3 linked regions of the Neurospora crassa OR74A genome follow. Each later gene encodes a partner of the first gene's protein in a complex. Links are inferred from orthologs where the notes say so. Each region holds a gene or a part of one and is shown in the gene's direction. Other genes may lie near its edges.

Evidence for each region.
Region 2: the proteins of pep (region 1) and NCU03559 are in contact, whole or in part, in a cryo-EM structure (PDB 8Q1B), measured with the Schizosaccharomyces pombe proteins. The link is inferred for Neurospora crassa OR74A from reciprocal best matches to the Schizosaccharomyces pombe genes qcr1 and qcr2. Residues at the interface, in NP_595827.1 of Schizosaccharomyces pombe: Ala15, Thr16, Thr17, Ala18, Leu19, Pro20, His38, Gln42, Thr43, Glu69, His70, Phe73, Lys74, Lys82, Glu85, Leu86, Phe88, Glu89, Asn90, Thr91, Gly92, Ala93, His94, Leu95, Asn96, Ala97, His109, Ala110, Phe111, Glu146; in NP_587698.1 of Schizosaccharomyces pombe: Glu37, Thr38, Pro39, Thr40, Thr42, Lys71, Ala78, Leu79, Thr82, Arg83, Glu86, Leu87, Gly89, Gln91, Arg106, Phe107, Leu108, Glu110, Glu136, Thr140, Ile143, Pro206, Asp207, Ala275, Val276, Lys277, Trp278, Ser279, Gly281, Asn282.
Region 3: the proteins of pep (region 1) and qcr8 are in contact, whole or in part, in a cryo-EM structure (PDB 8Q1B), measured with the Schizosaccharomyces pombe proteins. The link is inferred for Neurospora crassa OR74A from reciprocal best matches to the Schizosaccharomyces pombe genes qcr1 and qcr8. Residues at the interface, in NP_595827.1 of Schizosaccharomyces pombe: Gln168, Arg246, Phe247, Val248, Gly249, Ser250, Glu251, Ile252, Arg253, Ala254, Arg255, Asp256, Asp257, Asp258, Gly341, Asp430, Glu440, Gly441, Leu443, Tyr445, Asn446, Arg449; in NP_594714.1 of Schizosaccharomyces pombe: Trp13, Trp14, Gly15, His16, Leu17, Pro20, Lys21, Gln22, Lys23, Gly24, Ile25, Ile26, Thr27, Tyr28, Ser29, Leu30, Ser31, Pro32, Phe33, Gln34.

What each region holds. Positions count from the first base shown.
Region 1 is NC_026501.1:2,689,939-2,700,110, reverse strand, and holds pep (ubiquinol-cytochrome-c reductase subunit beta), read left to right. Parts: upstream 1-3,445; 5' UTR 3,446-3,545; coding exon 3,546-3,695; intron 3,696-3,835; coding exon 3,836-3,961; intron 3,962-4,090; coding exon 4,091-4,168; intron 4,169-4,223; coding exon 4,224-4,909; intron 4,910-5,008; coding exon 5,009-5,399; 3' UTR 5,400-5,752; downstream 5,753-10,172. Other genes in the region: NCU02550 (alpha-galactosidase), read right to left, coding at 1-1,075, 1,130-1,340, 1,399-1,606, 1,679-2,265; NCU02548 (hypothetical protein), read left to right, coding at 6,509-6,833, 6,897-7,606; NCU02547 (hypothetical protein), read right to left, coding at 8,226-8,755, 8,867-9,167. UniProt on the Schizosaccharomyces pombe protein: Catalytic subunit of the essential mitochondrial processing protease (MPP), which cleaves the mitochondrial sequence off newly imported precursors proteins. Preferentially, cleaves after an arginine at position P2.
Region 2 is NC_026502.1:226,020-236,115, forward strand, and holds NCU03559 (ubiquinol-cytochrome c reductase complex core protein 2), read left to right. Parts: upstream 1-4,842; 5' UTR 4,843-5,514; coding exon 5,515-5,775; intron 5,776-5,864; coding exon 5,865-6,039; intron 6,040-6,121; coding exon 6,122-6,954; intron 6,955-7,017; coding exon 7,018-7,113; 3' UTR 7,114-7,592; downstream 7,593-10,096. Other genes in the region: NCU03561 (mitochondrial carrier protein), read right to left, coding at 1-482, 576-617, 936-973, 1,070-1,133; NCU03560 (DNA-directed RNA polymerase III subunit rpc-3), read right to left, coding at 2,162-3,241, 3,303-4,025, 4,089-4,151, 4,210-4,218; NCU03558 (hypothetical protein), read left to right, coding at 8,079-8,110, 8,815-8,932, 9,123-9,209; NCU03557 (amino-acid N-acetyltransferase subunit Mak10), read left to right, coding at 10,032-10,068. UniProt on the Schizosaccharomyces pombe protein: Component of the ubiquinol-cytochrome c oxidoreductase, a multisubunit transmembrane complex that is part of the mitochondrial electron transport chain which drives oxidative phosphorylation.
Region 3 is NC_026505.1:5,785,080-5,794,338, forward strand, and holds qcr8 (ubiquinol-cytochrome-c reductase chain VIII), read left to right. Parts: upstream 1-4,422; 5' UTR 4,423-4,522; coding exon 4,523-4,584; intron 4,585-4,720; coding exon 4,721-4,746; intron 4,747-4,996; coding exon 4,997-5,174; intron 5,175-5,296; coding exon 5,297-5,354; 3' UTR 5,355-5,661; downstream 5,662-9,259. Other genes in the region: NCU08945 (RNA exonuclease 3), read right to left, coding at 1-1,410; NCU08946 (hypothetical protein), read right to left, coding at 2,930-3,436, 3,514-3,837; NCU08948 (NIF domain-containing protein, variant), read left to right, coding at 8,422-9,259.

The sequences.
Region 1 (10,172 bases):
TCTGTGAGCGGACGGCCGGATACGTTGAAGATGCCCATGATCGGAGTGCCCGTGACCGCCCTGCCGTTGTAAGCGCTTATTTTGAGCAGAGACAGATCATCGTAGTTGACATATTGGTCAAGGCTACGACCAAGCACGCTGGGACGGAAAATGACTGTCCTGCCTCTTGGCGTCACACCGGTCATCTGCTTGATCAAATCGAGGTCGTACTGGCCGGGAACATCTGTAATGTAAATGGGACCGCCGCTCACACAACGTGCGGCGGCGTGAAAGCCGGCATATGCGCCAGTAGTTTGGAACATGTCCCAGTCTGGGAGGATGTTCAGATGTTGGGTAAGTAAGCTGTTGTGAGCATTTGCCCAGACATGCCAGGGGTGAGAAGATGGGACGTCGGGGAAGAAGTCATCCGAGTTCCTGCAAAGCATCGTGGGCCGTCCGCGGGGAAGTTGTGTATGAAAGATGATCTGAGGAGACATGGACATGCAAGATATGGCTCTCCCGCTAAAGTACCGAAGAGATGCGAGCAGCCAGTTGTCTAGGTACGGTTGGATGAGTTCGCGTCGGACCTTTGGCGATACCCAAGTGTCGACCATGAACTGCGCATCGGTCTTGACTCCTGCCACACCACTCTCGGAGAGAAAACGATAGAAATCATCGTAGAACTTGTGGATATCCTCCTTCGCGATGACTGTCATCTTACCGCCAAGGGGAATGTTCTTACGTGAGCTATCTTCGCCTCGCACAACCTCGATTGTCCTGTAGCGTTTGGCAAGATTACCATCGGGTGCTATGCCTGCCCAATACCCTAGAAGGGCATGCCACACAGCAACGTGCTCGATATTCTTGTGCTTGGATCGTATTTCGGAGACCAGTCCTGTGAGACCATTTGGAAAGGCTTTAGGTTCAGCCTCGAAATCATTCCAACCTTGCTGCCATTGATCTCCATGGTAATCAATATCTTGCCAATTGTCATCGATGATCAGGTTGCTGATGTTGATGTTGTTATCGGCCAGAGCATCTACTGCCCTTATAACCTTTTCCGCCGTCAACCTTTGGCCAAGGGCATTCCACGTACCTACGTACTCATGTTAGACTGCATCATGGGCATATTGACTACTGTCACACTCACAATAGCCCAATCCATCATACCAGTTCTCGTACCAGTTAGCCTCGACATTGTCACTAAGCTTCTCCAGCTTCGTAGAAGACTCTCCAGCTCTGTCAGCCGTGCTGACGAGGCCGCGAGCGTGGTACATAACAGCAGCATTGGCACTCTCAAAGTTGTCGCCAACCGCTACTAAAACAGTACCGCTACCGGCTTTCGCGCTATCGTTTCGAATCTGGCCATCAAGGTTAGTTGATGATGGTTGTATACTTGTCTTGTGATTATAGGCCTACATGGATGGTCACCCGTCCAAACTCGTCGTTGCGAAACAGCGTCATGCCATCGACGGCATTGTTGATACCGGCGAAACCCAAAAGGACCAAGTGTTTGCCCTTGCTGGAGAGAAACGAACAAAGTAGTGCGTCTTTATCTAGTTCAACAGTCGATCTTCCCTGTCTTGGAGCGAGCCAAGGAGACCAGTCTCTGACCAAAGCGAACCACCTGTTGCCGCTCTGATCAGCACCTGGACAAGATTGTGAACACCGGCTATCGCAGGAGGCCCGAAATCCTTACCTCAGAAACCCTCCCCAAGGAATGCCGAGCGGAACATGGCTGAAAGTCGAGTTATCGTCGTCTTTAGCCCCGTCCACGGGAACCTCAATGGTCCAGAGTCGAGTCCCGGGACATTGGCTTAGATGAGAACTCCATTTAAGAGATGGGTTCAAGCCGTGGATCAGATCTGGCAAGTCCTCATCATCGCTGCCTTCTGGCGCTCCAACATCCACCACAATGTAGCCATCACCTAGACCCTGTTCGTTGCGGACCCATCTCCAATCATGGTCAGGCCCCTGGCGGAACTTGATGGTGAAGTTCAACATTGACTGCACGGTTAAATTGACAGTAAAGTGCAGGCGCATTAGCTGATCCGCAGGGTCGTGCAGGGTCGACGGGAAGTCACTCTGCCCACTTGGGGCGAAGGGAGTTTCGACCCAGCTTGCCTTGCGACCATTGTAGCTACCAGTGGAATGCCAGAGCGCGAGCTGCCACGAGCCAGGAGCAAGGGTTTTGGGGACCTCTAACACAGCGTGAAAAGTCACACTGGTATCCTTTAATTGGGTGATCTGCTCCAGAGGCGGGTAGGTTACGACGAAAGGGGACATTTCCAGGACGAGATCTGTTGGTGAATGAGCGATATGCTCGATGTCGGTCGTGGCAGCGGGATCGAGAGGATATCAAGAGTGGCATACACTATGACGAAGCCGGAGGACTGAGAGATGTAACACAATAATTGTATTGAAGGTAGGGGGCAATTCATGCAGGGTGGTTATGATGTCAAACAATGATATGTCTGTCAAGAGGTGTGTTGTTCCTGTTCAGCCTCCCTGGATGAATAAGACTCAGGAAGGGAAGAAGCCAGGTGACATTGCCAGCACAGAGTAAGAATAGGTAGGTGTAGCAGGCGTGGGCTCGTTGTGAGAAGTCGGATTGAATAGACCATAGGAGTCAGCTAGGGCTAGTTGCAGCTATCCGATCGATGCCACTAACTCCCAAGGACACGTGTAGTGCCGTAGGCTACTACGTACGGTACGAACCTCGGGAGGAATATTCCCAACTGTAAGTGATATATACGAGAGGTGGATGAGGAAGCTCTTCCTCGGAATCGCTGAAAGATCGGGATGTTTGCGGACTATTCCAATCTAGGGAGTAGCAGTACATAGCTTGAGTCGAGCATGAATCATCTCCTTGGTAGTGATACGAGCAGTTACAGTGAGCTCGATTGTAGACGACCGATATGAGATGCGAAGAGGGGATCGATTTTGTAGACCTGATGAGTACTGTATGTAGTGCCACCAGATGGTCGATCTCTGAACGGAAAAACGAAGGAATTGGTAGATAGACAGCCCTACCGGACACAGTCGAGGTATCTCTGTGCCTAGTTGATGAAATGCAACCTCAAACTCCCCTCAAATAGACTTGGCAATGACATGGGAGGTCGATGTGACGGGAAGAAATGGGCCGGACAGGTGAGCTGCCTCTCGCCTGTGGTGAGCTACGGGAGCTGGGGGCATGGAGCACGGAGCTGTTTGCTGGCTGAAACCCTTGATGAATGTTTCGCTTGTTGTGGGAGAGGGGAAGCTTCCTGACGCCCAGCTCCGTCGCTGACCCCTAACCCTCGTTCCGACTGGGGCTAGCACAGGCTTTTGTGTTCCCCACTGGCTAAAGATCGGTCCTGGCCAATCGAATGGCTGAATTTCCAAGCCAAGTACCCGGCTTCGCGCAAGTGCACGGACCCGTTCTTGTTGCCGGGCCTTCCCGAGCTGGCCTTGGAAGTGAGGCAAAATTAACGACTTTTTTGATGTGAGCAGCTAGTAGAGGTCCTCACTGTAGCATCCTTTCCTTCAAACCGCTCATTCCACCCCCCTTCAAATCACCGACCTCCATGGCTTCCCGGAGACTAGCTCTCAACCTGGCGCAGGGCGTGAAGGCCCGCGCTGGGGGTGTTATCAACCCTTTCCGCAGAGGTCTTGCTACTCCTCACAGCGGCACCGGCATCAAGACCCAGACCACCACCCTCAAGAATGGCTTGACCGTGAGGACGCCCGCCCTCCCCTCCCCCGGCTTCCGAGCCCGCCCCCGAGCCCGCCTCCGGCCCGACTGTCTCCCTCCCCGACTGCTGCTCCGGACCCCAAGCCACCTCCAGACTTGTCCTAACGTCAATTGCTATCACAGGTTGCTTCCCAGTACTCTCCCTACGCCCAGACCTCCACGGTTGGCATGTGGATCGATGCCGGTTCCAGGGCCGAGACCGACGAGACCAATGGCACCGCCCACTTCCTCGAGCACCTTGCCTTCAAGGTACGCCCCCGAATTCACGAGTCACGAGTCCTCTCCCCGGGCTGTGGTTAGCTTTGATATGGCGCGTTGGGTTGTTGGATCGGTAGATTGTATGAGAGGGCATCTGGTTAATTCGACGACGACACGCAGGGAACGACGAAGCGCACTCAGCAACAGTTGGAGCTCGAGATTGAGAACATGGGCGCTCACCTCAACGCCTACACCTCGGTTCGTCTGATCTTGTCGTCCGGCGCATCCGCCGCCCGCTAACCCGCGAGCACAGCGCGAGAACACTGTCTACTTTGCCAAGGCTCTCAACGAGGACGTCCCCAAGTGCGTCGACATTCTCCAGGACATTCTTCAGAACTCCAAGCTTGAGGAGTCCGCCATCGAGCGCGAGCGCGACGTTATTCTTCGCGAGTCGGAGGAGGTTGAGAAGCAGCTCGAGGAGGTCGTCTTCGACCACCTCCACGCTACCGCCTACCAGCACCAGCCCCTCGGCCGCACCATCCTCGGTCCCCGTGAGAACATCCGTGACATCACCCGTACCGAGCTCGTGAACTACATCAAGAACAACTACACCGCCGACCGCATGGTTCTCGTTGGCGCCGGTGGCGTCCCCCACGAGCAGCTCGTCGAGATGGCCGACAAGTACTTCTCCAAGCTCCCTGCTACCGCCCCTGTTAGCAGCGCTTCCATCCTCTCCAAGAAGAAGCCCGACTTCATCGGCTCTGATATCCGTATCCGCGACGATACCATCCCCACCGCCAACATTGCTATTGCCGTTGAGGGTGTCAGCTGGTCCGACGACGACTACTTCACTGGCCTCGTTACTCAGGCCATCGTTGGCAACTACGACAAGGCTCTTGGCAATGCTCCCCACCAGGGCAGCAAGCTCAGCGGCTTTGTTCACAAGCACGACCTCGCTACCAGCTTCATGAGCTTCTCTACCAGCTATAGCGACACTGGGTAAGAACGCCCCTGTTTGGTTTCGCACCTTTTTTTTATTCATCTCTTATCATCATTTTTCTCTTTCTGACGTACAACTACTGACATGGCAAACTATAGTCTCTGGGGTATCTACCTTGTCACTGACAAGCTCGACCGCGTTGACGACCTTGTCCACTTCTCCCTCCGCGAGTGGACCCGTCTCTGCTCCAACGTCAGCGAGGCTGAGGTTGAGCGCGCGAAGGCTCAGCTCAAGGCCTCCATCCTCCTCTCCCTTGACGGCACCACCGCCGTTGCTGAGGATATTGGTCGCCAGATCGTCACCACCGGCCGCCGCATGAGCCCCGCCGAGATTGAGCGCATCATTGATGCCGTCTCCGCCAAGGACGTTATGGATTTCGCCAACAAGAAGATTTGGGATCAGGACATTGCTATCAGCGCGGTCGGCAGCATCGAGGGCCTGTTCGACTATGCCCGTATCAGGGGTGATATGAGCAGGAACGCTTTTTAAGCGATAGGGAGCAAGAAGGGGGCCGGGTTCTGTATTATAATCGGTGTTACATTCCAGCCCAAAATCTGTACTCTAGGGTCGTAGGCTAGACATAGAGCAATCAATTTCCATGCGTACAAGTTTCACGGTACAGGTTCGGTCGGTTGTCAGGGTCATCCAATGGTTACTATGGTATGTTGCAGGGCGGGAAAAGCGAGGGAGGTAGAGGCCGTGATTGCCACCTCGACTACGGATTTCTGGCATGGTTTGCGAATCTTTGACGACATTGTGCTTCACGTGCTTACTCCAGGCGAGAGGATAAGCAGGACAAGAACATGATTAAACGATGAGAGACTTGCCACGATGCTGGAGTTGGACGAGACCGCATCCAGGGCTTTTCGCAACACGTTCATCTACAGCCGAAATCTGTGATGGTGGTATCCAAAGGGTTACCATGAGCCGATTTCTGAATCGCAGTCTGGAACACACAGCAAGGTGTCGGTTGTGTTGACAAGAAAGTATACAGACTATGAAAAAGGCACCTTGTAACATGAAGATTACACATGCTGTAATGCCTGCTTTGCTTGGAATCTCTACGCGGGCTGGGCTTCGGCAGGTGGCACAGACCAACCGGAGCCGGGAGCTGGGGTCACGGTACCTCTACGGACCTGAGATGAGACAGTTGTGACAGGGCAGTGGATGTCGGGGTACGTACTCTGCTTCGCTACATACCTGTAGGTAGTCAATGCCCGGCCTTATCGTGTTGGTGGCGATCGATTTTAGCGCAGGTGGGTGCAGTGCGCACGGGGCAACAAAGCCTTTCAGCCAAACGGCAGTCGAACTTTTGGCACTTTAACGTGACGTCCAGTGCAAACTCGGGCCGGTGACCATCCTAAGCACCGCCCTTGTTCTGTCGCGCCTTGTCTTGATCTGACCTCCCCGTCTGACCCTTTCCTATTTGCAGATCCCTCCCCCGAACACATTCCCCCCCGGTTGTTCGGTTGCTGCACCCTCTCTTCGACCCGCGGTCTGCGAAGCGAACTTGCGCCGGTCGGAGGCGGCATATATCCATCAGCTGCGATTCAGTACTCTTACACCTCAACATCGAATCCTCCGTCTCTATCGCGGTCATGATTCCCCAATCCGTTCGACGGGTTGTGGCTGCCGCGCCGCAGTCGCCCGTTGTCTCCTCTCTGGCAGCCTCGTCCGCCCCTCGCGCCGGCGCCTCCTATATACTCTCGTCCTATCAGCCCAATGCCCTGCAAAAGCGACGATACTCTTCCTCCAAGCCGTCCAGCCCCGATGACGGTTCCTCCCGGGCCTTCGCTGCCCGCGCCTCTGTGCCCGCCGCCGGCACCTCCAAGACTCCTGGAGAGAAGCGCAAGCGCAAGGCGAAGGAGCCGGTCATGCCGCCACTCCCCAGCGTGCCCAGCACCAGGCATATCAAGGACGAGGGTTTGTTTATCCGCGCCTTTTGTTGCACAGGCTTAGAGTCAAGTCGCTAACAAGACGTTTTAGCGCTCGCCCTTTCAACGTTCTTCGCCCTCCACAGGCCGATTTCAGTCACTCAACTTCTTCCCAAGACCGTGACCGAGGAGTCATTCGCCGAGATCTTCAACCACCGCAAGGGACACAAGGCGACCGATGTCCTTTCGACCTTGTCGCAGGCCGTACACGATCTTGAGTCGCCCATGTCTGGGCTTAGGCTCTCCGATAACGATGTCGAAGACGGCTCTACCAAGATCAGCCTGAAGCACCCCGACGGCACCGAGTCCGATGTCTACTTTCAGCTAAACTCCATGTCCGGCCACTTCCTTCCCTTCAACCCTCCTCCGCCGCCGGAGCCCATCGCTGAGGTTGACGAGGCCGCTGCGGAGGCCGAAGCCTCTGCTGCTATCGCCGAGGAGATTGCCGCCACCGCCGAGCAGGAGCCGGAAACGCGCGTGTACAAGGCGGTTGTCACGATTGAGGAGACAAGGGATACCAACGGCCAGTACAAGATCATGGCGCACAGCCCACAACTCGTCGAGGACGATGCTGTGCAGCCGCGCAGCTTCCTGGAGCGCCTCGCCCTGCGCCAGATTCGCTATGAGGAAGCTCGCCAGCAGCAGGGGATCATGCATGCTATCAGCGTGCGCAGGCAAAAGAAGCTGAAGATCAAGAAGAAGAAGTACAAGAAGCTCATGCGCAGGACAAGAAACGAGCGTCGCAAGCAGGATAGACTCTAAACCACGCAAGGGTTAATCCGGGCGGTAGATGCTTATTTTCTTTTTCTATACCTCACCTGCAATGTACAATATCTGCTCCATATACACACGCTCACGCTGACTAACCACCAGGTGCCTCGTTATCCAGTGATCAGTGTGCACTGTTTGAAAGCTTCATGACTACACTTGCTTAGAATCTTAACGGGGATGTTTTGTTGGTTGGCTTCAGTTTCTTCGGTGCCAGCATATTTGCACTTTAAAGAAGATAAAAGAGGCAAGCTCTGTTGGTTAAGTTGTAGGTATCAGTCGTAAGTAGTAGAAGAGGTCAATATCCTGTCAAAATACGCTTTATAGACTCCGTGTAACAGCTTTGATATATGTGTTGCGTCCACTGATTGATTGAGCGCAGGGCTTTTTATCACCCAGTCAGTTGCTCTTCAGGCACCATACGTTCTCGCTTGTCATAGGTCACCTCTCAAACGACGTATTCTGAATTCTTGTTGGGTAGGAAAGACTTTCATGCATCCGTCCATTAGTTCTAAGATGCCAAATGCCCCGGTGTAACCCATTCTGTATTCCTGATCATTGACTCATAACTCAGCTTACCATCATCCCCTTTCCCTCACAGAATTCCAGCCCCTCAAGCAACACTCTTCCTCAGATACTCCAACCACTGCTCCAGGGTCCAGCTAGAACTAACCTCCCCTGCGACCACCCCATCGAAAATAACCGTCGGACTCACATGCACGCCCACCAATCTCGCCATCTTGATCACTGTCTTCAAATCATTCGTCACCGCATTACCCACATTTAAACTTCCATCATCTCCCTTCTCTGTCGGGATAGCCAACAGCTCATACAACTCCTTCTCATCAACCCCCGCGCTTTGGGAAGCTAACTTCGCCAACCGCTTATACGTCTCATTCCGCGTCTCATTCACCAGTGAAACGTCGAAATAAGCCTTCTGGTCTTTGAACAGGGCCGCGCTGAAGTCCCAGAATTTGGTGGGGGCTAGACGTTGTACAGCGAGCCCGGCTTCGTGGGTTAGGGTGGAGGAAGGGTGCCAGGGTTGGATTTGGTGGCGAAAGATGAATTGGACTTTTGAGCCGAGGTCGGCGTGCTCGGAGCGGAGAGAGGGGAGGAGGGTGGTGTAAAGGGTGTTGTAGATTTCTGTCGTTTAGGGTGGTGAATCGTGTTATTCATGTGATTGCTTTTTTGGAAAAGCATGTATGGATGGATGGATGGATGGATGGATGGTTTGGGTTGAGGAATGTGACTTACTAGCTGAGAAGGGACAAACGTAATCGAGAAAGATCTCGACGGTATGGAGTGGCTGAGTAGGAAAAGAGCTAGCACCAGCTCCCTCGGTGGGGATGAAACGGTGGCCAGCGAACTTTGGAGGAAGAGCCATCGTGGAACTGGTAAAGGTGAAGCTTGGGTTGTGGGATAGCGTAAAGGGTGGAGGAATCAATAAATCACTACAAGTGGTCAAATGGGAGTCTGAACAATGATGGTGTTGAAGTTGTGTGGAAGTTCTGAGAAGTGGACGACTTGTCTTTTTAAGATGAACATTTAGACGCATACGAGGAGACAATGATATGCAGCCGAATGAATTTGGAATTGTGTGGTACCTGTGGAATTGGTCAAGAACCAACGAGCAATGGTCGACGTTGCCGCTGCGATGATGCCATCGACTGGGGACTTGCTGTGAAACGCCTTCATGGCGGGAGAGGAGTCGTGAGCGGGGCATGGGTAGAGTAAGCAATGCAGTTAGGGGTAGCTACCTCTTATCTCTACATGTGTTGATGGCTACAGCTCATGGTCAACTTCAACAAGGGGCACTATTGCACCACGCAACCTTACAAATCACAATGCCCCGTCTCTACACTACTCCCCTCTCACTGCCCTGACGTTTCATAAAATTCCAAATCTTGGGAGTTTCCCGTTCCCTTTCCAAACAACCAATACTTGAGGGTGGTGGGTAGTTTCACAACGAGGACAGCGGACCGAAGAGCACATCAATATTATTTATAAGCCCAGTCTGACCCCATAACATCCAATACGGAAGTTCCACGCCACACTGAGCACACATCACAGACTACCATACCCGAGGGAACTGATCACAAAATGGATTTTCAAGAGGTTGAGAAATTGAATTCGTGTTCGCCCCGTGCCCGTGCAAGTGCAACAATCAACCGGAGTAGAAGAGCCAATTTCGTCAACGTTTGTACCCTTACTCAGGTCCTGTAAAAGTGGTGATATGGAACTAACTGCCCTTGCCCGCCTGATGTCATGTTGTCAGTGTCAGATTGTCGCACTCGATATAAAGTACCTACACCTTCGATATGTATCTTCACACACAAGCTAGAGAGTCATAAGGGTCTTCTTGACGGTCTAGATCTTTCATGATGATCGCAAGCGATTTCTAGACAGAGTCCAAGGGAACGTCATCACTTGTCATATGTCCATCGTCACAGGCGGGGATAGCGTCGCTGGTACATCGTCCGGCATACGGCAGAATGGTATACTTCAACATTAACCCCGTGAAGATTGGGGGTTGAATGGAGATTGAAAGTGTGGCGTTCTG
Region 2 (10,096 bases), on another chromosome or scaffold:
TAGTCGTTCAGACCAAAGAGGAACTCCTTGGCGAAGGCGGAACCGCCAAACAGCGCGAACGAGCCGGGCGCGTTGCGGGCGGCCGTCCAGCCCCAGCCGCGGTACAAGTTGCCGAAGCCTTCGTCCTTGATGATCTTGAAGACGCCACGGCCCTTGAAGGCCTCGGGGTTGGTCTGGCGCTTGATCTTGAGGACGTCGAGGGGAAGCAAAACGATCTCGCCAATGCCAATGAGCGAGCCGGCCGTCGAGTGCATGATGGCCTTGCCCGTCTTCTTGCCAAAGGCGTTCTCAAAGTCCTTGCCGTAGTGGGTGCCGAGGAAGTCGCGGGCAACGGGCTGGCCGCCGTACTTGTAGATGCGCTGGAGAACCTTGTAGCCGGCGGCGTAGCCGAGACCGGGGAAGAGGGAGACGAACTTGCGACCGAAGGGGGCCTCGGCCTTGTTCTTGAAGATGACCTTGTTAAGCTCGGCGGTGTTGGAGATCTGGGCAGACGTGAGTCAGTGGGAGGGTTTTGAAAGTAGTCATCAAGGTGTTGCTTTAAGCAATTGATTGGAGGTGGAAGGAAAGCTACGAACCTTGGTCTCGTTGGACATCAGACGCTTAGCGATGGTATCGACCTATTGTAACCAGCAAGGTCAGTAGGGTGCTCGTGATATTCGCACTTTCTTGTTACGTGTGTTGTCCCTCTCTTTGCTTTTCGTCCTGTTCATCCTGTAGAGGAGGACAGCTCCAGCCAGCTACCAATCCAGATCACCAATGCGGTAAACCAAAGCTGCTAGGTCAGCCATTGGCCTGTCTCGGTAGCATGGCATGGAGCTTCGAGAGCTTCGAGAGCTTCCTTCCTTCTCGCCCGGACTTCTCTGGACAAGAGACTTCGAGAGGGACCGGTGACAACGAAAGTGACCAGTGTTATAGTGGTACCCGTGAAAACATACAGGATGGAAGATGGCCAACTCGGCGATACCAGCAGAGCCTACATCACACACCCAAGGAATCAGCAACATGTTTTCCCCAAACAGCGTTGACAGAACAGACGTCATCCGTCATTGCAGACAGTAGAAAGACATACCGGATCCCAGCAACCTAGCCAGGTTGGACTCCTTCTCCGAACGACCAGCAGCAACGGGAGACATTTTGTTTTGGTTGTTTGTTGTGGTTTGGTGTTTTAAAGATTAAAAAAAAAAAAGACGGGATGTATAACCGCTGTGTGAGGGGTTATAAGGGAATTAAAGCTGCAGCAGTGCGTGTGTGCGGGGAGGGAAACTGGCGAAAAAGGATTGCAGAAGATCGGACTCGAGGAGACGAGGGAAATTGGGAAGAGAAAGGGAATCACGACGGCGGGACGGAAATGAATCACAAGCAGACCACAGTCACAGAGAGAGAGAGAGAGAAAGGGAGGGAAGACGGGACGGGACGGGGACCGGAAGATAAGAAAACACACGACACAGTACGGCGAGCAAGGTACCACCTCGGACGAGGAACGGGGACGGGGACTGGACTGGACTGGACTGGACTGAGTGGGGGAACGGTTGGAGTCACTCAGGTAGCCCAGGTCCAGTAGGTCACTAGGATGATGATGCCTTTGGTTGACGGGGTCTCGAGTCGTCGGAACTCAACGACCGAATTTTTTTGAAACTTTTTTTTTTTTTTTTCTCCTCGTCCGCGGCGTCCCCCAAGCGCAGCACCGCAAGCTGCGAAATTTCTCGCGCTAACGAGCTCCGACAGCGGGATTTACGAGTGCAACCCTTGCCAAGCCAAGGCACGCTAGTATTGGTTCAGCCAATCCGGGGCTTATCGAACACTAGCGCCAGCCTTATCTGAACCACCGACAGTCCGATGCTGGTTTGTTTGTTACTTATGAAGCTTACACTACACTAACTAAAATACTGTATATATCCCAACATTTCAAGTACTTATCCGAAATATCCTATTCGAACCAGATCACGCATTGGTCAGACATAAAACGCATTGGAAGATTGATCCAAAGTCTTCAGCTAACAAACAAGCGTCACCCGAGTGTTTGGCACCAGCAAAGGGGAACACCGTGATCGCACATGTCATTCTTAGTGTATTCTAGATGACTGAACTCATAATGATGACCATGTTTTTGTTGTCCATATGCTGAAAACGCTCAGATCATGACATTCTCGTCTTCAAAGAGTTAATAGTCCTGTAAAAGAGCCAAGGTATCATCAATCCGCATCATCTCCGCCATCAGCAACCTCTCGTCCTTCAAGAACTTGGCAAACCTCGCGTACGACTCGTCACGCATCATATCCTTCTCCTTGCCCTTGACGTTGGTCCGCTTCGCCAGCGACAACACGTCCTTGTCCTTTTGCCGCCGCACCTCCAGCACCTGCAGGCAGTGCACCATGGTTGCGTAGCATTTGGCAATCAGGCTGCTGTACGCTTGCTCCGTGTCACAGTACCAGAGGAAGATGGACTTTTTCGGGTCGGCCTTGTTGTCGCGCGGCACTTCTTGCGTATGCGCAAAGCCCACAAGACGCATCTCCAGCATCTTTTGTTGAAGGTCCACCTTGCGCATCAAGCTGAGAGACTGGAGCGCTTGCTCCCCTAGCTTGCCCTTCGTGCGGAGGATGCGTATCAACCTGAGGCCCTGGCGACCGCTGGTCTGCTCGATGATCGAGTCGAGTTCTGTCGCCCGGAGATTCTCCATTAGAGGCTTAAAGTCGACCGTCCACTCATCCTCTCCACAGTGACGCACAAAGCCTGGGTGGCCCTCGGCCAACAGCAGGAGATGTTGCCGCAGCTGCTCAGGTCGGCTCATCCTAGCGACCGGCGCGTCCCCATTTTCCTTCTTGGTGTCCATCTCTTCGTCGCTGTCGCTGTAATCACCATCCTCTTCGTCATCGTCGCTATCGTCTTGATTCATAAAGGGAATCTTGTCCTTGGGCGCTAAAGGAGTGAGTCTCTCCGCAGCCGATTTCGAAATGGACTTGCTCGGGATCTTGCCGATTCCGAGTGTGAGATCAATCGAGGTCTTGACCTTATCAAGAATCTCGTTTGTTGTGACCGAGGGCGTCACCTTCTCTTCCGGCGTCAACGCGTCTATGAGCGGGTCTGATTTGCAGCGCGAAATGTTTTTGGTCAATTGCTTGAGCAGTTGACCGTAAACGTATCCTGTCGTCTCTCCGAGGGTCTCGTTGACATATTGGACAAGGCGGCGGCTGCGTAGTTCCACTATGCACTTTTCGTAGTTGATGCGGATGACTTGTCGGGGCTGGAGGAAATGGCAAGTTAGTAACACCGAGTGGACCCTTGTCCCATGGGAAATAACCTACGTCCAACGCCGGATCCAAGTCCTCCTCTTCTTCAGGAGCCCCATTTGTCTCGTTTCCAACAGCCAGCTTCCTTCGCTTGCTTGCGCCTCCATTCTGAGCCAGCTTGCGCTTAAGAGTCTTGGACTCCTCGCGCACCTTGCGAAGGCCCTCAGCCACTCTCTGTTCAAACTCAATCTTGGCCTTGGTGCCCTTGATGCCGTTGGAAAAGTACACGTCCATGACCTCTCTGTGGACTTGCTTCTCAATTTCGTGGGCGCTCTGGAAGGTCTTGCTGTGAATGACATCGATCAACTCGGCCTCAATGAGTCGGCAAAGCACCGAGTTGAGTTGCGCTTTGCTCTTGATCGCGAGCTCGGGTTTCTTGTCGTTCAGCCATGCGTCATCGTTGTTGACCTCGTTGATCTTGGCCTGGTAGGCGGCCACCAAGTCGGAGATTCGGGTCTGTCCGAGGAGCAGGAGATTCTGCATGACGTCGCGGCCGGCGGGGCCGTAGCTGTTGTCCACCATTTCGAGGATCTTGCCGGTGCGCACGAGGTTGTAGGCATATTCGTGATTTACCGAGTATTCGGCCTCGCCCGAATTGGCGTCGACGGAGTAGAAGAGGAGGTTGTGTTGTTGGAGGACGCAAAGACCATTTTTGACTTGGCGGGCGCTGAGTTTGGAGAACTGGCTGATGAGGCGGACCGAGAGCTTTCCTCGTTGGAAAAGAGTCGCATAGACTCTCTGGGGGAGGTGTCAGTATCGATGTGCGTACTCCGGATCGGCATTGGTGGTGGTGAAACCTACTGCGGGGAGTTGGCCGTAGAGCTCGTCGACAAGAAGAGTGCAGCACTCTGCCTTTTCTTTGATCTGTGGTGGTCATTGGTCAGAAGAGAGCAACGAAGAGGAATGAAGGACGAGTACGTACAACTGCCATGGTGGGCTATCAGATGATGTTTGTTGCCGTTGGTGTCGGTGCTATAGCAACCTAGGATTTGAAGAAGATGTGGCTCCTAGAGATCCTCTCACTATCTCTAGAGCTTCTGCGGTTACTACCGATATGATGGCATGGGAGATCTCCAGGGTTTGGTGGGGGAAGAAAAGAAGAGGGCGGTGGAGTCGTGAAATTATATATTAAATTGACATTTGACACTCAGAGAGTCAGTTTTGCATGCGTGGTGGGGGACTACCTGGTGCTGGCTGTTCTAGTATTCTGTGAGAGATGCGCAAAGTAAATGCAATGCGCCTGCAACAGTTTGGTGGTGAATAGTGTTCGACAGACGGCGGGGAAAACCGAATGACAAAATGCTCCAAATTATTTTTTTTTCCGAGTCGCATGCGCGGCGGCGGCAGGGACTCTCCAGGTCCGCGCGTCAATCGCTATGGGCGCGCCAGACCGCGCTAGGTACCTAGCCCCTGGGGTCCCGTCCACCCGTACGTACGTTGTAGTGTAGTGTACCTTATGTGCAGGAGCTAGAGGTACGTACCTCCACCTTTGCCTTTGTCAGTACAAGTACCTAAGCCCAACCCACTTTTCCAGAGTTGCCCCGACGGCAATCCCAGGTCCCGTTGAGTCGAGTCGTGCAAGTGAACGACATGAAGAAATCCATCCGCCCGGCAAACTGACCCAGATCATGATGCTTTTAAAGATGAAACAGCCTTGTCACCTTGTCCTCACCGAACCCGAATCCGGAAACTTCCATCTGATAAAAGAAGCTTCCATCCTTGGAAGGGGTCGTTCATCCGGCCTGTGATGGGCTTATAGGTATCTACAGGTAGGTAGTGTAGGTAATGTACTTATATCCACATCTTCTTGGCTTCCGTCGTCGTTGTCTTCAGCGGATCGCGGGGCATTTGATTCCCTTGCTGCTGCTTCGCGCCCAATGATGAGCTGTGTTTCACTGCTGACCACTGAGACCGCTGGGTGATGGCCTGTGCCAGCCCGTCGTGCGGCTCCCGACTCGTGCGTGGCCGGGTGTTCACGCCTTGGGAGCCTCAGCGCCGGGCGGGCCTGGCAGTGGTCTGCAGCTGGGCAGTGGTCTGTGCCCGGACTGGGCAGCTGCCGGTGCACGTGCAGCCCGGCAACTGGGGCGCTGGTGCCAGGGAATTTTCGGAGTCGGAATTGCTACACTAAGTATACTGAGAGAGACTACGTGAAGCTCAGTCCTCCCAAGCAGTGCTCGCTGCGCAATCATCTAGAACCGTCAATTGGACGACATCGACCCCTCCAACCATGATCTCCCGATCGGCTCTCTCGAGGGGAAGCCAGCTGGCCCTTCGCCGCCCGGCCGCTGCGAAGACGGCCCAGCGCGGCTTTGCTGCTGCTGCTGCTTCTCCCGCGGCGTCATACGAACCCACCACCATCGCCGGCGTCAAGGTTGCCTCGCGCGACGACTCCGGCCCGACCACCCGCCTCGCCGTCGTCGCAAAGGCCGGTACCCGTTACGAGCCCCTTCCCGGTCTGACCGTCGGTCTGGAGGAGTTTGCGTTCAAGGCAGGTCCCCGGTCCACCGCATCCGGACCATGAGAGAGAGAGAAGACGCCCATGAGCTAATAATTGGCACACCTTGGCGAGGTACACAGAACACCAACAAGAGAACCGCCCTCCGCATCACCCGCGAGTCCGAGCTCCTCGGCGGCCAATTGCAGGCCTACCACACGCGCGAGGCCGTCGTCCTCCAGGCCTCCTTCCTCCGCGAGGACCTCCCCTACTTCACCGAGCTCCTTGCCGAGGTCATCTCTGAGACCAAGTACACCAGTGCGTGATAATACCTTCCCTCCCACGAAACCAAAAGATGGCTGTTGTTGACAGTTGTTGTTGTTGCCTTGCCGCCCCATAGCCCACGAGTTCCACGAGCTCGTCGAGAACTGCATCCACGAGAAGCAGGCCAAGCTCGACTCTGCCGCCATCGCCCTCGATGCCGCCCACAACGTCGCCTTCCACAGCGGCCTCGGTTCTCCCCTCTACCCTACCGTCGACACCCCTACCTCGTCCTACCTCAACGAGAACTCGGTCGCCGCCTTCGCCAACCTCGCCTACAACAAGGCCAACATCGCCGTTGTCGCCGATGGTGCCAGCCAGGCCGGTCTCGAGAAGTGGGTTGAGCCCTTCTTCAAGGGTGTTCCCGCCACCAGCTCCGGCAACCTGAACACTGCCGCCTCCAAGTACTTTGGTGGTGAGCAGCGCGTTGCCAAGAACGGCAAGAACGCCATCGTCATTGCCTTCCCCGGTGCTTCCCTTGGCGTCCCCCACCCCGAGACTTCCGTCCTCGTCGGTCTCCTCGGCGGTGTCTCCAACATCAAGTGGTCCCCCGGTTTCAGCCTCCTCGCCAAGGCCACCGCCGCCAACCCCGGCGCCGAGGCCTTTGCTCACAACTACGCCTACTCCGATGCTGGTCTCCTCGCCATCCAGATCACCGGCAAGGGTGCCGCCGTCGGCAAGGTCGCCGTCGAGGCCGTCAAGGGTCTCAAGGCCATCGCTGCCGGTGGTGTCTCCAAGGAGGACCTCACCAAGGCTATCGCCAAGGCCAAGTTCAACCTCCTCTCCGCCAGCGAGGTTTCCGGCACTGGCCTCGTCCACGCCGGTGCCAACCTTCTTGCCGGTGGCAAGCCCATCCAGGTTGCCGAGACCCTCAAGGCTCTTGAGGGCGTTACCGCTGAGAAGCTCCAGGCTGTATGTGTGAACCTACAAGAAGTTGGAAAAGAAAAAAAAGATATGCTAACAAACGTTCAACAGGCTGCCAAGAAGCTCCTTGAGGGCAAGGCTTCCGTTTCCGCCGTCGGTGACCTCCACGTCCTTCCCTATGCTGAGGATCTCGGTCTCAAGGTATAGACGTAGACTAGACTTTGGGGGCGCAGAGCGGGTTGTGCAATTCGTAGTTAATTGAAAGAGGAAATACCTAAACGCAGCGAAACGAACCGATTGAAACTGGAAAGGCGTGGATACTTTTTTGAGAAGACGCCAGGGTTGGGAGACAAAAACCAAAACCGTGTACCAACAGCAAAACCGGCCGGGATGAAGTGTGTTGTAGACCTTTCTCGTTGTGAAGCGGGAGATGAAGAACGAACGGCTGGGGACCGACGACTTTTTGTGCATATACAAACCTCTAGACTTTTTATCATTCCTCGCCACTACTTCTCTAGCAGAGCTATAAAACACAAAATGCAGCAGGCATTATTTCTTTTGTTGACATTGGATACCTGTTACAAACGAGGGTGAAATGTCAAGCTTAAGGAATGAGATGAGATATGCTAGTGAGTTTTACGGCGAAGATAAGTAGTTTGGAAGAGACGAGAATGCTTGAGCTCATTTGAAAGTTTACAAATGCGATAGCACATTCAATGTCAAACATCAATCACACAGGTCCATTCAAAATAGGTATCAGGGGTCGATGTTTACTTTTGACCTTGTTAGGTAAGCTGCCGAGCTTGCCCTGGCGGCGGCGGCGGCGGGCGCCCGTAGCTCCTGTTCCGTCACTGCATGGCATGGAAGGAAGCTTGGGGCGGCGTCTCAGTTGGGGGAGTTGGGGTCACAACTGAAGACAAAAAAAAAGGAGGGGCATCACGTGACACACGACGGAGCTTCGGGCAGCGGAGCTTCTCGGGTTCCCTGGTGTTGGATGTGGATTGGGTGGATGGGTGTGCCAGGGTGGGGACCAGTTTTGTCGAGTCGAGAGTGAACCGAATCGCGCGCAAGCAAGTACCGCAGCAAGCAGCAAGCAGCAGACAGCAACAAGTCTTTCTTCGTTTCACCGTCAAGACAACACCCACCCACCCACCCCACAATCTTCGCCCAACATGGTGTTCGCTTGGAAGGCCGCTGGCATTACGTGAGTATCTTGTCTTTTCGTTTTTATTGGCTTGGGGACGGGGAGAGGCAGGGCAAATAGGGCAGTTTATCGGAAGTGTGGGAGGAAGAAGACCAGAATTGCCGCGACAGAGAGAGAGAGAGAGAGAGAGAGAGAAGGATGGAGGAGGATGATGGGACCAACGAGCCTGCCTACCCACGAACGAGCTCGACAACAGAGATTACAACGATTACATGCGCCGAAATCTGGGGTTGTAATTGCCCCGCGACTTGAAATACGATCGATGGACGACAATCTACGGGCGACCTACAACAGGTGGAATGAGAAAGACTGGGAGAGAAAGAGGACGGAGATAACCCCAGGTCATGGACGACAGCAGGACCCAGGGAAACATTGAGGGAGATCAAGGAGAGAGATAATACACGACACACTTGGTCGAGAAAAGCGCCGAATGTCCATGACATGGAGAGACGGGCCCGAATGCGACAAAAACACCGGAAAGCGAGCAAGCGATGCGTAACGACGACTTCGAAGCAACAAAGCAGGCCAGCATTCATCCAGAGCTACGACAGACATACGCACTACAATCACCAGATAGCGCACGGAATGAGCAACACACGAGGATCAGGAGCAGGGCAAGAGGGGGGAACATAGCAGAGGGGACCGGACGAGAGAAAACAGTACTACAAGACAACGAAGGCTAACACGGTTCACGAAAATTACAGCTACAACCGCTACCTCGCGGTCGCCTCTCGTGCGCTCCGTCGCTCCCTCAAGGAGGATAAGAGAATCATTGCTGAGCGTCGTGGCGAGGCTGCCGAGGTCAAGTTCGCTAAGTGGTCGGTACGTAATAATCTTTTTGTCTTTTGGCTATCGGGGAACAATCAGACAAGAGAAGAAGAAAGAGGAGGGGGGAATGTCACGAGTGAGGAGACGGAGAGAAAAAAAATCATGAAGATGGATGGACACCGGCACTGGACGTAAACAACACGAAAGAGAAGCTAATCACACCCCCTCTCTTTCCAAACTACAGAACGGCAAGCCTGGCGAGACCGTCAACCTCAGCTCCGCCAACGCTGCCGCCGCCGCCGAGAACGCCACCTCCGTTCCCTCTTCTTAAGCGGATCGACACACACACAACCAACACACCGTGACGATGTGCTAGGAATGGTGGTGTAGTGGTGGACCGGGAGATGAGAGAAATAGGGTCATATCGCGAATCGCTCCCGCATGGCACTCAAATCCTCACCTCCTGCCGAGTGTCACTAAGCCCGAAGACGTATGACCTGTATCATCAAACATATTGGGGGAGCGAGGAAGAGAAACTCAATAGACGGTTTATTGGCATTTACTTTGTGAACTGGGTGTGACTGGTTGGAAGTGAATCTGAGTGACATATAAATGAACTTGAAAAAGTGTTAGAATGGGTGTGCCGCTCATTGACAGAGGTAACAGGTCCGAGAGTCGTAGATGTTGCACAAGGGATTCCTTTCCCTGAAGTACAGCGTCTCATTGCCTCTTTGGGCTTCATTGCATGATATGCAAAATACGGTAGGCGCTTATTCGACGAAGCCAGTTGAGTTGAAAGATTGGGTTCTTAAAAATAGAAAATGTGATCAATAAAGAATTGTTTGTCATTTCTTAGCAGCCTCATCAACCCACTGACAAGCGGAAAGTGAGGAAGCTTACCTCTAGGTAGGTATGTACCCGAAAGGGGAGTCGGTCGTTAACATTCGGGCTCACGGACGCTACCAGCAAAGAAGTCCGGGCAGCCAGGCACAGACTCAGGTTCCTCCCCTAACAGAGCCAAACATCACCCGACTTCCTCCACTCACCTAACCACAAACAAACAAATGTTCATCTCAAGTGCATACTAATTACCTTTCCTACGGGAGCCCATCCATAGCTCTTGTAAAAAGAAAAAAAAAAAAAACACAAGACCATGATCCCAGACGACCACCAAGCTGCAGTTCAAAGAGGTTTGTTTCTTTCGCTACAATTCCCAAA
Region 3 (9,259 bases), on another chromosome or scaffold:
GAGGATCTCGCCCATGGGGCGGATGAGGATGTCAAGGAGTTCTTTGCCGTCAGGCCAGTTGACTGCTGTCAAGCGAACGAGTTCAAGACCGTTGACCGTGTAGCACATTTCGCAGTCGAAGCAGACGGCGCGGTCCTTGGGTACGGAGGGGTTCTCGGGGGTTTCCACAAAGGGCACAATGGTTGCTAGACGGGCGGGGGACTTGACGGTGAAGACGTGAGTGCTGCAGCTTGTACAGCCGGTTGAATCGCCGGCGAGTTGTTTGCAGCATCGGTAAGTCCTCTCTTGCTGGACGGTACTGGTTGGGTTACGCTCTGGGTAGATGAGTCGGCCCCAGTGGTAGGTGCAGGGACCGCCGCTGGTGAGAGCGCCGTCCTCTTCGCGACGGCCGGGGAAGACTTGGAAACGCTTGGTGCAGCGGTCGCATGTCTCCCAGCCCATGGCAGCCTCAACGCCCTCGCGTGCCTTTTTTATTTCCTCTTCAGATGGCGGCTTGGGGACGTATCCATGTTGGGCGAGTTCGGTGATGGACGTGAGAACATGGGGTAGGAAGGCGATCTCTTCTTGCGGCGTCAAACCTGTGTTGATCTCCTTGGGAGGACCGAGAACGGCCTGCTTCTTGGAGCTTGCTTGAGTCGCAGCGGCTTTGCGTTCCTCTTCCTTCTTAATCTCTGCAAGACGCTCTGCCTTCCATTGTTTGGGCGTCATCTTCTTGTAGCCCATGATGCGATTTTTGATGACATTATTGTAGATGGACGGCTTGTCCATCGCAATCTTCTCCTCCAAGTCCAGAGAAAGCCATATTAGTTCTTGCGGAGTAAAAATCAACTTCTTGCTCTCCGCATCTTTGCCGGCCGCCTTTTCCATCTCTTTGTTCAGTCGGACGAATTGTTCGTGCAGCATCGTCAATGCTTTGAACCGGAACTCAAACGTAGCAGGTGCCACGCCCTTGAGCATGCGAGGGTTGAGTGTCTCGACCTTCCGAGAAGCTTGTGCCTTCCGAATGGGCACCTTCTTCTCGGCGCTTTTCTCGGGTGTTGGATTGGCGGGTGATGAGACGGCTGCCGGTTTAGTTGCTGGGGTAGCGGGAGCCTCAGACGGACTTGACTGAACAGACAAAACTGTTGGCTTTCGGCCCAGTGGCGGGGGCGACACAGGTTTCTTGGCCGTCACAGGCTCCGGGTTGGGCTGCGAAGACTCTGCCGTTGTCGGCGGTGTACTCTGGGTAGGCTCTGTCGACAACTTGCGACGCTTTCGCGGATTGTCATCTGCGTCCGGACCATCGTGTTTGGCTGACGCTGGAGCGGCCGGCTTCTTGTTCCAGCTGTGTTGAAAGAGACATCCGGACTCAGTGCATCTGTCGCCATGCGGGCATGGGATTGACCCCAAGTTCTGTAAAACGGTGTCCATTGTTTGAGCGCGGGTTGGCCAGGGGTCACGGTTTGCCAACGGGTTTGCTTCCTGCGAGTCGTCCCGGCGCTGGATAGACGTGTTGCTAATGGAGCGAAAGGGCGGTCTTGAGGGCAATAGAACCACAAGATGACGGGATCTTGAAAGTCTATTAGCGACCTCGCGCGTGAAGCCTGGAAGACGTGCTATGGTAGGCAACTCTGGAAGTTGATGAAGTAGATGTCCACTTGGGAGAAGCCGACTTGGGTGGGAGACTCTTGTCAGTCGGCCCCGGTGAGATGCTGAATGATATCGATATATGGTAAGGTATGTTGTATGTCGTTGTCAAGAAGGGGTGGGAGCTTCCAGGTTGTGAATCGAAGATATCAAATGGTGAAACCGACTTGCTGACGAATCGGGCAAACAAGGAAGGCTGGGTCCGCAGCACTCACTCGCTGCTTCACTTTATAGTCTCAGCGTTGTCAGACCGAATATCCACCTGATAGTCGTAACACGCAGCGTGGTATTGATTTCGACTTGTCTTTGAAGCAATGAACTTTGACGCAGAATGTGTTAAAGATATAAAAGAGGGAGCGCCGAGATAATCGTGGGATCCGAAGAGGCTACAGAACGTTAGCTTGTGGACTTTGGCGCAATCACGTAAAGAAGCAGGTAAAGGTTGTGGGTCTATATTCCAGCTCTTCTCGTTAAGTCAACCTTGAGTGTGACCAACGTCAAAGTTTAAACTGTTGGACCTTTGGGATGACAGCATGAACCGAGTCTTTGAAAGATTGCCCGGTTCAGTTAGGTTGCAGCAGTTGAGATGGGCAGCAGAGGCAGGGATGAAATGCAAAAGCCAGCAGAGGGCAACACATACGCCAGCGGTGAGCACCGTATACTACAAAGTATATCTGACAAGTACAGGCCAAGCGATAGTCTAGAGATGCCCGGCCTCTCAACTCCTCGTTTTTGATGTCTTGTGAGTGTTTTCAGTGTGTTGTTGAGATGAAGTTGATGACAATTCGAGGTTGAGCCAAGAAACGGGAAACATGCCCGTGAGTGAGGCGGGTAGCTGAGGCCCCTGCGTTCGGTCATTGGTCCACCGAACCGCCGCTAAGCGTTACGAGATCCATGCGTCCCTGGCGTTGAGTGTGAGGTCTGTCTGGGGTGTCTAACGTTTTCACCTTTCATAATATACACCTAGTAAGGCATATCACGTCTCAGGAATCCTATATCGGATGGTTGTGACTTTTCTCTGCCCGAACTGGGAGCCTCAGGAAAAGAGTGGCCATTCCTTCACCATTCCCACGTCCGTCAAAATATCAAATCGGATGTCATCTCGAGTGACAAAAGACAAGTCAAGTTCAAAAAACATGCTCCTATTGTAACAAGTGCCTAAGCGGGGAAGATACACAATGCTCATATCATAATAATACAGTCCCATTTTGGTCATTACCTCCCTTTACCTCCGTAGCCTAGGTATCATGGTCCCCTTTCTGCAGAACCATCTTCGTCTCTTTCCCTTACTGATTGCTCCCGTTTACGCCCTGCCAACGTTCATCAACAGATTTGTCCCCTTGCCACCTCCGGGCAGGTACGCCACGTTGGGGTTGGCAGCCAACACCTGGGCAATCTCCCTCGACGCCTCAATCTTTCTGATCTGGATCAAACCATCGCCAGCCTTGGCAATAGACTTGCTGATGGTCTCTGCACTCTCCGCTTCACCCTCGGCGCGGATGACGTTGGCCTGGCGCTCCTGCTCGGCACGCTCGACGATGAAGCGCGCACGCTCGGCATCCTGCTGCGCAATCTGCTTCTGCTCGACGGCCTTGGTGAACTCCTTGCCAAAGGTCATGTGGGTGATGGAAACATCCTCGAGCGCAATGTTGAACTCGGCGGCGCGCTTGACGAGGTCGGCGCGGATGCGCTGCGAGACGGCCTCACGCTGCGTGATGAGCTCGGCGGCGTCGAACTGGGCGACGATGGACTTGAGTACTTCGTTGCCGATGGAGGGGAGGACACGCTCGTCGTAGTCTGGGCCGAGGTTCTGTGGGGATTCCAGTCAGTTCAAGTTCGTTGTGATCCGTCGTAGCCGTCATAAGGGGCAAGTTCTTGTAAACGCACCTGGTAAATCTTGGGCAGAGCCTGCACCTCAGGACGGTGCAGCACTCTGAGCGTCAAGCTGACCATCTGCAAATCCTTGGAGCCGGTGGTGGTAGGGATGATGCGAGGCTTGGTGCGAACATCGAAGATGATGGCCTTCTGCAGCCATGGGATGAGGAAGTGTGTGCCCTCGTTGACGACCGTGTCCTTCACACCGGCAACTCTGTCGAAAATAACCGCCCGCGAACCACCTCTGACGTCGTAGATGGAGTTCTGGAGAAGAGCCACACCAACAGTTGCCGGGATGGCGAACTTGGTGATCATGTCCAACCCTCTTGCCGCCATTGTGAATATCGGTTTGAATCAAGATTAAGGGATCGAACTCGGTTGATGTGGTGGTGAGGGATCTGACTCGAGAGTATTCGTGGACGTCGTTTCCGGGGATACCTCAAGGTGGGCTGTGGGATTATCACACTACAAACACTACGGCGTGGACCGTGGCGTGGATCGTGGTGGTGGTGGTGGTGCTTCCCCAGTTGCAGCAGTAAGCAGCAGTCGTTGCGATGGATGGAGCTTCTGCAAAAAGTGGAGTGCCATGTCCCGTCGCCCGGACCAGGCCCAGCTCTCTCAAGCTCCCCGCATGGCCCGGGGATGTCTTTCAGTGCTTGCGTATGGTGATTCAATACCTATCCTAATGGTCCGTGCACCTTGTTTTGTTCAACAGACGGGCAGGTCGGAAGGAGGCTGAAAGAGAATGATGCTGTAAAGGTACTTGTAGCTTGTACCTTTCCATGCTAATCCCTTTTGAGCCTCCAGCACTCGGGTTTCTGACGGGACTGCCAGTGACGGCTCCATGGCACTTGGCAAATGAAGTGCCAGCCACTCACTGTCGACCGATTTCAGTTCGAACTTCGTCAAACCCGGTTCAACGCCGCGCGAAGCTCTTCCCGAACCTTTACGACGACTGCGTCCTCACCACGACCCGATTGATACCCCCCATAGCGCGTTTCGCGACAACACATATTTCAAGATGCGTCCTACTCAGACCATGCTCGGTGGCGGCGGCGGTGCCCCCATCGGCAAGCACAACCAGTCAGTCTTCCCACTTGTGATTTGGAAGAGCCCGGAACTTCATGGCACAAGCTACCGGCGATGCGCCCTTTTCCCTTTGCGCCGGCTCCCCCTCCGATCCAGCTCTGGATGTTAGCTAACGTGCATGTTGATATAGCTACCTTGGTGGCTGGGGTAACTTTGGTGAGTAGGAACCTTTGCAATTGACGATGCACCGATACCAAACATACGGCAATTCTTCAACAACGGGAAATACCGGGATGGGAGGGAATGCGAATATGAGGGCACGACAGATGGTCGAGCCAGAAGACGAAGAACCTTGATGACCGCCCGCCCACTCGCCCGCACGCCGAACCCTTGACGAACCGATGAGACGACCCCCGAGACAGAACAAGACCATCTAACCCATGTTGTTTTTCTTCCCGACGAACAGGTGGCATGAAGCAGAGGGGCATCATCTCCTACGGTATCAGCCCTAACCGCCAGAACCCCCTCGCCGGCACTGCCCACGACGCCGTTTTCAACACCTTCAGACGTGTCAGCTCCCAGTTCCTCTACTGGGCCCCCTCCCTTGTTGCCGGCTACTACATCATGAACTGGGCTATCGAGCGGTACGTTGCATCACCACCACCCACAGCCCCGAGGGATTTCGATCACGGGGTGGCAAAGGAGGGACCGTTGTTGTCGTCGTTCAAGAGAGTGCCACATTCTAACAGGGCATTCTGCTGGTTAGGAACCACTACCTCAACTCGAAGGCCGGTCGTGCTGAGTTCGCTGGCCAGGAGGAGTAAGCGATGGACTTTACGATACTTGGGCACGGAACCAGAGTGCAGTTCCCGAGAGAGAGAACTAGTACTCAATAGACTAACCTGTATATCACCATCTTTATTCCCACGCGGTTCGAATTGGAGTTGGCATAGACAAGACATGGACCTCTCTTATGGGTATCGGCATGTGCTGGTTTTGGATCTCATACGACACCTGAAACACCACCACCAAGTCGTTTCTTGTTTACATTCGGCTCGACAGATCGCATGTGATTTCCAGCCTTGTCACGATCCTAATCTATCCACGCATCATCCGGACATTCCCTTGGTTAGCTCCAGTTCTCTTGTCTTTGGGTACAATCATTGTGCATCTTGCCGGTCCGCAGGCCAGTCTTTTCGGCGCTTGGTGCTCGTTGGCTGCACTAGATCTTGCGAGGAGAACCATGAGGTAGCGAGCCGGTTCCTTTCATGGAGTTTGATTTTCTTTCTCGCCTCTGGAAGCATGTCAGACGCTGGAAGGCTGAAAACTGTAGCGGCGCCCGGCCTTATGACGTATCACCACGCCTGTGAAGCCGAACGTCCTAGTTCATATACCGTTCCTCTCCCGGGACAAGCTAACCAGCCCTGCTCAGCATTCTCACCTCCATGAATAGGACTGTGAATACTTCACCTTCAAACTCATCATCGTAGATGCCGATACCTATCCAAGGTAAACAATGACGGGAGGTAGGTATGTTCGAAGCCATTTTATATTCAAATTCAAAACTAAACAATGGCACTGCACTAAGCCCCAACTTCCAGACCGCATTTCCAGGGCAACATTCCAAAGTAGGCATAAGTACATGTTAGTTCTCAACTACTATTGGTATGGTGCCTAGTCATGTCATTAGCTGCAGTGCATTTTCCAGAAACGCTCGTGGAAGAAAGAGCAGATCGGTGAAGAAATCCGGCCATACATCCATCAGCCCAACCAACGCAACATTCAGGGGTAATGAATGAAAAGAAACCAAACAAATGCAGGAACGGGTGGCCCAAAAGCGCAAAACGAACCCCCCCCCCCCCCCCCTCCCCCCCCCCCTTTTTCTTTTTTTTTTCCTACAACCTCGGTTGGTATATTCTATGATTTAATGATAGTCTTTTTTTCCTTTCGCTTGAGTTGCATTGGGCTGTCAGGGTCTCGCCATTTGTTCGCTTTTGCAAAGAGATCATAGAAGTATTTTTATGACGGGGTTGATTACATGGAGCATGGGTTATGTGTTGAAGAGATGGAAAAGACGAACATGTGAAATTGTGTTCCGTGTTATTAATTTTGCACAGACCATTCCAAGCTATATAACATATATATTGTCGAGAGACTGAATGATAATGAGGATACAAACACCCAGAACAAAATTGGTTCACATTTAATCAATTGGCGTCGCTAATCCCCCTCCAAACAAAAAGAGATCCAACCAAGGAGGTCCCATGTTGTGTCGGCGCTGATGTTGAGTGGTTAGGTCAGTTTGTCGCCTGCAGTGTTGTTGTTGTTGACTGACAGCAGCAGCTCGCGCTGTGAATTGTGGATGTGGAACCCCCACCCCGCCATGGCCCATCCATCCATTCATCGAGATGGCCGACGACGGAGAGGGGGCCTAGGCAGGTCGATCGGGTTTCCCGCTCGCTCGTCCGCTCGTTGTCAAGTCAGTCGGGAGGAACACGTGAATGGATTCAGTGGATGAAATGCCTGGCATTTGTTGAGCACCCCTGGAAAACCCCGTCGAGATGCCCTTTTTTTTTTTTTTTTGTCTTGAAGCCCATTATTTCTGGTGAACAGCCACTGAGCCGCCGCCGTTGTTGTCTCGTTAGTCGTTACCTTCCCCGTGCTGTTCGGCTAGCGTCCCGTTGTGTTGGCGACTGGACTGGACTGGTGTATGTAAAGTCGTTGTCTGTGATAGCTGGGCGCCACTCCTCGATAATTGGAGAAGAGAGAGAAAAACATCCAGGACGGGAGCTCTTCACAACCACGACGGCATCACCAACTGAAACCCCGATAATAAAGGCGGCGCATATACATGATATGGCCGGGAGTTATCAGTGCTTAATTGCACGTGCTGGGCTTCGTGAAGTTATAATAAACCGGGGTTGTTGACTTTGTTTGTATCTTGCCTGTGAGGTCGATCTTTGGAACTGGGCGGTCACCACCCTTCCTTTTCTTTTTCTCTCTTTTTTTTTTTTTTACTCGGATCCCTATCGATTACCCAAAAAGGGTGTCATGTTCGTATTTTTTGATAGCCAACCAAGTCCAGACAAAGCAGATCTGGGCGGGCCTCGGACGTCCCATCTCACCACTTGCGCTGTTCGAAGTTCGACAGGCAACATCAAGTTTGTACAACCTGAATGGAACTTGCAACTCTTTTTGGAAACAACTTCAGAAAGAAAAGAAAGAGTATGTAACCGAGCGATTGTTTCTGGAACTACAGAAAAGGTTATTACACTGCGTGCGGTTGACGACATTGGCCCCTTCTTCGCGCGACCCCCCGAGTCTCCAAACAGTACCTCCAGTCTCCAGTCTCCAGACCTCCAGGCTCTGACCCCAACATTGGATCGCTGCCCGTCTCCAGACTCCTCCGGCCCCAGTGTATGTATGTAGCTCGCTGCTTCTCGATCTTCCCCAAAAAGTTCCCCAACCGGATCTCGGCCAACAAATCATACAAACCTAACCTAACGGGAAACAAGCCATATCCACGTAACCGTTCGTTTCTCCTGCGCCCGCTCTCTTTTGCGGCTTTCAGTCCAACCATCCTCGCCATCCGCAATAATTCCCCGTCACAGAGCAACCGAACAGCTTTCGGTCGCTGCGCAACACCAAACCTCGGCCGGGCAACGAACGCCCCTCCCGTACCCTGCAGGCCACCCCAAGCCCAATCCCAATCCCACGTCCGACGGTTTTTGTTCTACAGTAGGGGGCCGCACGGAATTGACTACCATACATCATCGATCGATCTTTGCTCGAATAAACCCACCGTCCCCGCTGTCGCCGTCACACAGTTTGCAACTGCCACTGGGCGCGGCTCGCATTGGCGTCCTTCATGGCTTTCCCCGCGCTGGCAAGATGAACTCCCTAAACATCATCTCGGCCCGAGTATCACCAACGTCCAGCCCGACCCCGTCTCGATCGAACTCTATAAGCGCACTCAGTCTAGCCCACCATCTTAGCAGCAAAGAGGAGGACGATCACCATGGGCCGCGCAGCAACGATGAGCTGTTGGGTCTAGCCAACAAAAACAACACACTGTCAGAAGAGCCCGAGGACAAGGAGTCGGCTGCACAAGGGGGATACGATGGACAGCACTACGATCCCGACGAGAAGACTCCTCTGCTAGCCCAAGATCAGCCCAAGTCGCCGACCACATGGGCGTCCCTCCCGAAGCGCTTCGCGTTTGCCATTGTCGAGTCTATACGCTGGCTGCTCATGACGATCGCTGCGCCTGGCCTCTACTTGGTCGCTTTGTTCTACGATGCCGAGGGCAACTTTGCGCCTACCAAACAATTACGGAAACTCTTTGGTCGATATGGAGGAAACGCGAAGGAAATGGCTGTGGATTACCACGAGGCAGCTGCCCTCTCTGACGCCAACCTGGACGGGGCCGGTATTGGAGGAAGCATTCGCAAGTCACGAAAGTCTCGCCTCCGTTCTAGCGGCTCCTCATCGTCAGGACTCTCGTCCGAGTCCGAGTCGGAGGTGGAAAGCCGGACAGGTAGTAGCAGCAGCGGACGACGTCTTAAATCGAAATCATCCCAAGACTCTGAAGAAATCGCACCGGCACGACGCTCCATAAGAATCAAGCTTCACTCGGACGCCGACTCCCTACGACAGCGCAAACAGCGAAAGGACCGCTCCTCCGCCTCCGGCCGATCTACCACTAATAGCGACGGCAACGGCGGGTCCG